2 linked regions of the Sus scrofa genome follow. The main gene of each other region encodes a partner of the protein of the gene in region 2 in a complex. Links are inferred from orthologs where the notes say so. Each region holds a gene or a part of one and is shown on either strand. Other genes may lie near its edges. The genes, in order: SMYD2 and ESR1.

Region 1 (4,540 bases), on a different chromosome or scaffold from region 2:
ATACCAAGTGAAATATAACATCGAAAACGTGCCGCAAAAATTTGACCAGGCCAACGTGCGTGTGTGTATATGCACATAAAATGCATCTGAGAGGTCTGATGAGAACAGCCCCCCAAGTGAAAGACAGATGTATTTTTAGGACCTGCCTTCTGGCAGCTAAAGCAAGACACACGTCTTCCCAAGTGTCACCCCCCGAACTGAGAAAACATGATACAAATCTGAAACTCCCAGAAACAAACCTTTGTCTGAATTGCCCTGACAGTAAAACCTAAGAGACCTTCCCGTTATATTTCAACTTAGAGAACATACTTATTCCTGAAAAAAAAATCACTTATTTTCCTTCAAATTAAGTCAAACCCTGATACAATGAATGTAAGGAAAAATCTCTAGGCTCGTTTGGCTTAAGCAATATCGTGCACCTGCAACGTCTGGCACAAGAAATGATACGGTGTCGTTTTCCTTCTATGGGATGGGAGGAGGGGGGTTAATAGTGGATTTCTGCCCTGTATGCTTCACTATTTGAGGATGCTGCTCTATCCCCGGGGGAACAGTGGGGACACAGACACAGTAATTTGTGTCTAGCCCCGCAGAGTAATTTGTCCTCGGTCACATACAAACCATTGACAGGGGAAATGGTGCTCAATCTGCGAGAATGAGTTACCCACTAATTCTAAACCCATCGGAGTTAACAGAAACCAGAGTGCAAAGCTGTTTCTCATTTCACAAGCATCATGACGTCATTATTTCCCGTGTACTATTTTAGTTGATTTCAAGCGAGTCCTTGGGGAGAGAGAGGAAAGGTGCAGTGGGTGCTGACAGCAGTTCACCTGAGGCAGAGGGGGCGGGGTGCAGGGGTCCTGCTCCAACGCCTGGGGCAGCCCTGGCGAGGGGTCCAAGGCAACAGGGACACTAATGAATGTCATAGGAAAAGGGAAAAAGGCCAGTGTCATCACACATGGCTGGGTGATCTGTGAAGTGCCATCTGACTGCACCCTCCTGATCTATGGTCGGGGGTGTGCGTAGTAGATACCGTTAAGGAGGCTCACAGCGAAAGACCAGCATCTCAGCTCTGCTGCTCCACTGCGAACCCAGCTGGAGCTGGTCTTTAATGCACCGGAGGAGTGGTCTGGTAACGACCATCTGAGCACCTACCATGTGGCAAGTACCACCTTCTCTTCTCAAACAATAGAGCCCAGGAATCACCAGGAGCCCGATGGAGGGGGGCCCCTTCCGTGCTGGGTGACCTTGCTTTGCTCCTGCCACTCCAGACACCCACACTGCTTCAGACTCTGAGCCACAGCGAGGCTCAGAAGATCAAGGGACCAGACACAGCAGCCTTTTTAACTTTGGGAAAACCCAATGCTCACTTCACTCAAACGTCGCAAAGTGGTGCCATGACCCTTTAGCTCTTGGCTCACCAATTCAAAGAGCCACATCACATACAGCCCTTAAGCTGCCCACGGCATGATTCTGTGTCTAGTTCCTTTCCAGGTCCCCCCAAGCGGAAGACAGCTCTGGCAGGGAGTCTGGGCAAGATGACTATAGTATTTAGCTTTTGTCCCTTCTTTTGCTCTGTCTTATCGTGGAATAAGATGAACACATCTCAGAGATGGAGTACGCCAGCGTATGTTGGGCTTGCCCGGGCTGCAGACAGACCTGTACGCCAAAGGTACCTGCAGACCTCAGGTGGGCTTAATCTAGCCCAGGATTCTCCATTTCAAAGATGAAGAAACTGAGGTTCAAAGAACATAAAGTACCGGAAGGCCCTGTACAAGCTTAACTCCAAAGCCAGGCTTCCTGTCTCAGTACTACTGGGAACACTCAACTCGGGAGGAAATGGGTAGAACTGAAGACACTAGATTTCATTTTCGGAACGACAGACGTGAATACACATACGCAGTCGCACTCTCTCGCTCGGGGCATTAGTTCTCTTGCCTGTAAAACGGAGAGTGTTTCATGGATGATTTCTAACCTGCCTTTCAGGTCTGAAACTGTCATGGGGCTTTAGGATGCTAACTATGTGTTGCTGTATGTGAATACAAACACGAACGTATATACAGAATATGCCACAATTAAATACCAATTCCAACCACATGGTTTGCCAAATCCTGCCCCAGCAGCCGTGTCTTCCCAATCCCAAATCAGGGTTAGATACATGGCACCAGTGCAGCCCCTCTGCACCCCAGGTGTGTGGTCAGTGCTCCTCTGGCTTCTCTCCAAACACCAAGCGCAGGGTGAGAAGAAATAAGAGGAACCAGGTACTTTACATGAAATATTAAGTGGCATTAAGTTCCTTGGAGGAAACGCGGCACGTGTGCGACACAGCCGGCCTGTGGGGCACAGAACACACCGCAGAAAGCACAAGTTGAAGGTGACAGACTGCATGTAGCTGCGCGAACCTGGGGCCCCGCCAGCCACGCACCCCAGTGGGCAGCGTGTGCTGACGCTGGGAGCAAGGCCGGCTCCGCGCCCACGTTTGAGGGCAGGATTCTGCCCTCGCGGGTTTAGCATATTCCGCGGGAGCAGCTCGGAAAGCGTGCCGTGCAGGGCGTGCGAAGGGAACTTGGCTCCTCTTTCCTAACGCACGTGGCACAATCAGGCCTGGGGTTCAAGGGCGCCGCCCGCCCCCTCCCCCGAGCCGCGGGCGCTAGGACCCCGCGCGCCGCGCGCACTTCCTCCCGCCGCGGTCCGCCCGCCCCGGCGGCGCCCCGGCTCCCGCCCGCCCGCCCGCCCGTCCGTGCGGGCCACCCTACCTGGCGAAGCAGAACTCGCAGTGGTTGCCCCGCTCGTTGACCGTGAGCACGTAGGCGTAGGCCGGGCAGGAGAAGAGCAAGTCTCCCACCTGGAAGGGCTGCAGGGCCCGCAGCCCCCGGCCCTTGCCCGGGCTGCAGAAGCGCTCCAGCCCGCCGTCGCCCTCGGCCCTCATGCTGGCGGCCGGGCTGGCGCGGAGGGGGCCCGGCGCCGGCGGAGCCCGCAGCGGCGGCTCCCCGCGAGCTGTTATTGGAGAAGCGTCACCCTGAGCGGCGGGGGGCGGGGTGGGAAGCCGCCCGGCGGACGCGGCGGCGGCGGCGGCGGCGGCCACCGCTCCCCGGAAGGGACGGCGGCCCCGCCCGGTCCTCGCACGCCCCCGGGAGGCGGGGGAGAGGCCCGGCGGCCCCGCCTGGCGTGCGGGACCCTCGGCGGCCGCCCCGCATGCCCCCGGGGCCGCTTCCGGTGTGGCCGCCGCCGGGAGCGGCATCTCCCGCGGCTCCTAGAAGGAGGGCGGGAGGCGTCTCCGCCTCCGCGGCGTTTCCACGGAGCGCGCGGGACGCTGCCCGCTTTCCGGTGGGCGGGATGGGGTCGCCCACGGGGGCAGCTACCCTGCGCCCGTCCCGGGCTTGGCCTGTAGGAAGGCCGGTGATTAGGAAATTGAAGGAGGCCAAGATGCTTTGCAACCTTGCGTGTGTCCTTGACAAGGACCGTAGAAGGCGTCCTCTGGGAACACGGAAGAGAAACCGCCGTAAAAAAAAGTTTGATGTACTAAGATTAAAGAGTGCTTCCCCAAGGTTAAAAGTTTTTCAACCCGATGAGGCTTTAAACCTTCTAGGGAGTCTTCATCGTGAACCTACTCTTCCCTCTGCCCCCCTAGTGGAAGTTAATTACGTGGACGGAAAAGGAACTGCACCGGTCACCCTAACTCACTCGAAGCTTCTGCATACACGCAACGATGCGGAGGAGGCAGGAGACAACCTTGCCAGCAGGGAATTTAGACTTGTCGGGGGCAGTGGCGTGCTGTAGCCAGAGCACCCGGCTAGAATTGTGGTGGTTCTAATCGATTTGACCAGGCACTGTCATCTTAGAAAAATCTGTTAGGTTTTGAGCCACATAGAGGATTTAAAACAGGTAAAGCTCAAAGAACAGTGCTTTAGCACTTAATCCTATACACTTGTATACTATTGGAGTTTTTCGTATGAGAAAGATATAATCTGTTCCATGTAAAGGCTGAAATTGATGCACATGCAGTTAAGGACTCAGTCGTGAAGACAGAATTTAGCAAAAACACTAATATTTCAAACTCAAGTTTGACCTCAAACTATGGCACATGCCTAAGTTCAAGACTAATTTAACAAAGGGAGAGATGAATATGATTTGGAGTCATGAGATTATTAGAATTTTTGACACTTCAATAAAGTTCTAAAATGAATAAGCCTCTAGTCCTCCTGAAAAGAAGAATACATCATGGATACTCTCCCATTTAGGCATTTTAAGAAGCATTCACTGAGCACCTACTATGGCCAGTCCCTGGCATAGAAAGATGGGCAAAATGTAGGCCTAGGTCTTTGCATGTGACACATTCACAGCCCAACAATAATTACCAATAGTTAGTGACTATTATGGACCAGGCATTGTGCTCTGTACCTTAGACACAGTATCCCATTTAATCTGTAATTCCAACTGCCCAATGAGTTAGGTGTTATGTCTCCTATTTCCAAAACTAGGAAATCAAAACTCAGAATATCCAAGGCCACACAACTGAGCTGCAGAATTTGGTTTCAGCCTC
Region 2 (4,139 bases):
TGATAAGTACTGAAGAAAATTAAAGTTTCCTAAAAGAGTCCAATGAATTCTTTTCTTTTTTACCAAAAGTTATTCAAACAGCAAAACTGAGAGGGGAAAAAATATGAAGTAACATCTCTCCATTTGAAATAACTTATTTTATAGATCCTTCCCCTCTTTCTTGGGTAATAAGAGGCGGAATTCAAAGAAAGAAAAGAAAAGAAAAGAAAAGAAAGGAAGGATGGATGTTATGGGAAATAAACTACAAAGGAGAATGATCATTCTAAAACTGAATTTCCACACAGAATCCAATGTGGGTGAGTTGAAAGTTCCATATCACTTTTTTATTATTCTAAAAATATCTGAATATCATCGAATGCAGAAAGTTTAAGATGGGCATGTTATAGTGATATTATTTGCCACCAGGATGCTGAACAATTTTGAATAAAATGTGATTCCCCTCTTTATTTGACCATGTTCACTTTGTAATTATTAGCAGGGCAGTAAATAATCCACTGAGAAGCAGTCTCATTAGTGTCCATTGAAATTCAGTGGCATTAATTTGCAAGAAAAGAACTGAAAATTAAATGGAAAAGAAAACTGTTTCTGGAGTCTACCATAAGGTTATGGAATTCACGTCCTATCAGTGCCTTCCTTCACATCAAGGAGTTTAAAATGTTGTGTGAATTAGATTTAATTGTCATATTTGATTCTAACACTTAAAAAAAGCGGGCAGAATAAATTCTTTTTCTCTTTCCATTTTAACCCTGCAGAAAACAAGTTAAAATGATTCGATAGAGGCCAACTTTTTAAAGTTTTGTTCATTGTTTGTGTTTTAAGTAATAACTCAGGATGGACCTGCTTGGCTGTGTGACATTCTAAGGTCCTCTGAGGGGGCTGAAGGATGTGGCAGATGTTCAGATACCCCCAGCGGCTGCCTCCAGAATTCTCTAGGGCCACGATGCACCTTCCTCCCGTTTCTTCTGCTATAAATATCTCTGGAAATAGATGCTGAATAGAAAAACGGCCCACAGCTTGCAATACAGAAGGGTCTGGGTGAGGGTGGAGGGCACGTCCACACACCAGCAGTGTCCAGCCAGGCAGTGCCTAACCCAGCATCCAGCCACCAGGGTGCTGGGAGGCCTCCCAACCCCACCCAGGCTATCCCTGTCCAGCAGCACCTAGGGTGCAGGTACCCACCAGGACCCCCTGCCTAAACCCTCTGCAAAGTCCATCAGGAAGAGAAGGGAGAAACTGTCAAAGGGAAAATGGGAGGAAGAGGAGCAAAGGAAAGTATAGGGTCTACTAGGGGGAAAAAAATAGGACAAAAAACACTTGCCTCTTAAGTCACAAAAGTGTTCCTGTCTATCCTGAACGACTAACTATCTGTTGCTTCTCCTGAGAATGAAAGGCACAGAACTGGGCTGAACCCATACACACCACTCCCAGGGCATTCTCAGCCCCGCAGGCCAGAAATGAAACTTAGCTGGCAGGGAAGTATTTCAAAACACTCGTGCTTCGATGTGGCATGTTTTTAACTCACAGGACAGTTATAAATCTCCGGCTGTCAGAAGTCTTCTGCCAGCAAGCTGCTCTGACACGGACTCCGCCAGATAACTCAGAAATCAGAAACTCCTTGAGACCCATTCAACCCTTGCTCATCTGAGCAGCGCTCGGTCAGTCCTACAGCCTCCCTCGGAGGTGGGACAGGGAGGACAAGCAAAGGGCTGCTAGGAACCGCTTCCCAAGGAAATGAGCACCCCCTCATCACCATCACCAGCTCACCAGCGGCACAGCGTGCACATAGCCAATCCGAAATTCTAGGTGAAAGGAAATTTTGCAAGCACGTTAAAACAAATTTGTAAAATAATAAGACTATGTAAAAAAGAAAACTCTGAGCTCCGCCTGCCCCAACACCTACAGCCAAAGCGGGACCTTTTCTAGGGACTCAAAGCACCTTGTGCTTATTTGGTCTGGGGCGTTTCTCCCCACAAATAACCTCTGCTTTGCACGGTTTTCTAATACTGGTTTAGTTGGAAAGCACACGGGGTTTCGGACCTGCTTCTCACGCAGACAGTAGGCGGGGTGGAGAGTAGAAATTTTTTTTTTTTTTTTTTTTTTTTTTAAGCTGCCAGGCCGGAGAACTTGACTCTCGAACGCGAGATCCACCCGTGACCCTGGGCCGGGTCGCGCCCTAGCCCTCGGGTCGCGCGTCCGCGGCGCCGGCGGCGGCCGGGCTGCCGGGTGCCCAGCCCCGCGGCCTGCGGGCCCCGCGAGCTCCCGGCGGCGCGGCCCCTCGCCCCCCGCTCCCTCCCGCCGCCGGGTGCGCGGCGGCCACCCCGACGTGGCGCGGCGGGCGGCGCGGGTACCTGTAGAAGGCGGGAGGGCCGGCCTCGCGCACCGCATAGCCGCTCGGCTCATTCTCCAGGTAATAGGGCACCTGTTGGCCGTGGGGGTGCAGGAAGGGCGAGAGCTGCGGCGGCGGGTGCAGCAGCACCAGCGGGCTCGGAGACACGCTGTTGAGCGGCTGGAAGCCCCCCAAGCCGTTGGCGCCGAACGCCGCCGCCTCCGACCCCGGGCCGTAGGCGAGGCCCGACTGGCCGTAGACGGGCGCGGAGGCGGCGGCCGCGGCGTTGAAGTCGTACGCGGCGCCCTCGGGGTAGTTATACACGGCGGGCTTGCTGCTGTCCACGTACACCTCGCCCAGGGGCCGCTCCAGGGGGATCTTGAGCTGCGGGCGGTTCAGGGGCTCCAGCTCGTTGGCTTGGATCTGGTGCAGCAGGGCCATGCCGGACGCTTTGGTGTGTAGGGTCATGGTCATGGTCAGTGGCCGCGGGCAAGGCGCAAACCGTTTCCCCCCGCGGCGGAGGGCTCAGCAGCCGGCCGGCCACCTGGAAGAAGAGCACAGCCCGCGGTTAGAGGCGGCGCGGCGCATGTCCCGCCGCGACGCGAGCTCTGGCCCTGCCCCGGGAGCCGGCCCGTCCCGGGGAGCGGGGCGGCCGGACGCGAGCAAGTGCAGCCCGGCGCGAGCGCGCTCCGCCAACTCCCGGGCCCGGGTCTCCAACTTTAAGTACCGGTCTCCCGAGCTCATATGCATTACAAAGGTGCTGGAAGCCGGCCAGGGGGCTGTTGCCTTGCCCTGACGTTGGCTTAAACATCACTCCAGGCGCAACTCGTTCTGGAGCGATCCCAAAGAGCAGCTTCCCTGAACTTTACTTTACTTGTCGCTGCTGGATAGAGGCTGCATTTCACTGCAGGAGGGCGGAGGCGCAGAGGGATCTCCTAAAGGTGGTCCGGAGATGACGGGGTTTAAAACAAACTCGGAAGACTAATCCAGGGGCCGGCTCTCTCGAACGTGCTACCTTATGTGCCCCGTGCCAGGCTCCAATCTATCTCTGTTTGTCTCTCTCTCTGTTGGATTCACGCTCCTCGTTGGCTGGAAATACGGAGTGTGTACAGAGAATGACCCTGGGGAGGACCACTCTGTAACCGAGATATGGCAGATAGAATGGGGTGTGCGGGTGCATAGGCAGACGGCTATATTTAGCAGCTCGGGGGACAGATAAGAGGCATCTGGGGGAAAGGGGGCGGAGACTCAAGGTGTACTATAGAAAGAGCTGCGTTTTGCAGTCAGGGGAGTGCTGCCCAGCTCAGTTCTCCTCATCTGCAAAATTCTCCCAAAGTCATCCCCTCCAGCCAAGACTATCTGAGATTCCCCCAGCCCGACTTGTCTGTTTGTCTTTGGCCGCAGTACTGTACTTGCTCCCATCAGGAATTCTAATGTGAATGACGATTTACAGAAACCTCCCGTTAGGCGGACATGGGTATTCATGCCTTCCACAGATTATGCAACCAAAACTTCAGAAAACTGAATATGAAATGTGACCTTTCCAGAAAAAAAGCATAACCTCGGCTCATTAACCAAATCTACACTGTTGGTCTCACCAAACACATTTTGAAATGCAATGATACATGTCTGTTCTTTTATCCTACAATTGGACCTTCTTGGTTCACTTGGACTAGGATAAGCAGAATCAAATATTCAGATTGGAAAAGAAATAGTAAAAAGTTCTGAACTGAATTAAAAGCTAAACATGCTCAAGCACATTATATATGTGTGTGTGTATAACAGATAATAATGTATATTACATAGCATGTAA

The links.
Region 1: the proteins of ESR1 (region 2) and SMYD2 are in contact, whole or in part, in a crystal structure (PDB 4O6F), measured with the Homo sapiens proteins. The link is inferred for Sus scrofa from reciprocal best matches to the Homo sapiens genes ESR1 and SMYD2. Residues at the interface, in NP_000116.2 of Homo sapiens: Gly262, Arg263, Met264, Leu265, Lys266, His267, Lys268, Arg269, Gln270, Arg271; in NP_064582.2 of Homo sapiens: Leu148, Val179, Asn180, Cys181, Asn182, Gly183, Phe184, Thr185, Glu187, Leu191, Ser192, His193, Ser196, Ala203, Ile214, Val215, Ser239, Tyr240, Ile241, Asp242, Tyr245, Arg253, Tyr258, Ile302, Arg306, His341, Tyr344, Leu379, Asn380.

Annotation. Positions count from the first base shown.
Region 1 is NC_010451.4:129,313,133-129,317,672, forward strand, and holds the start of SMYD2 (N-lysine methyltransferase SMYD2), read right to left. Parts: upstream 3,091-4,540; 5' UTR 2,927-3,090; coding exon of another isoform or gene 2,754-2,926; intron 1-2,753. UniProt on the Homo sapiens protein: Protein-lysine N-methyltransferase that methylates both histones and non-histone proteins, including p53/TP53 and RB1. Specifically trimethylates histone H3 'Lys-4' (H3K4me3) in vivo. The activity requires interaction with HSP90alpha.
Region 2 is NC_010443.5:14,488,366-14,492,504, forward strand, and holds the start of ESR1 (estrogen receptor), read right to left. Parts: upstream 2,801-4,139; coding exon 2,349-2,800; intron 1-2,348.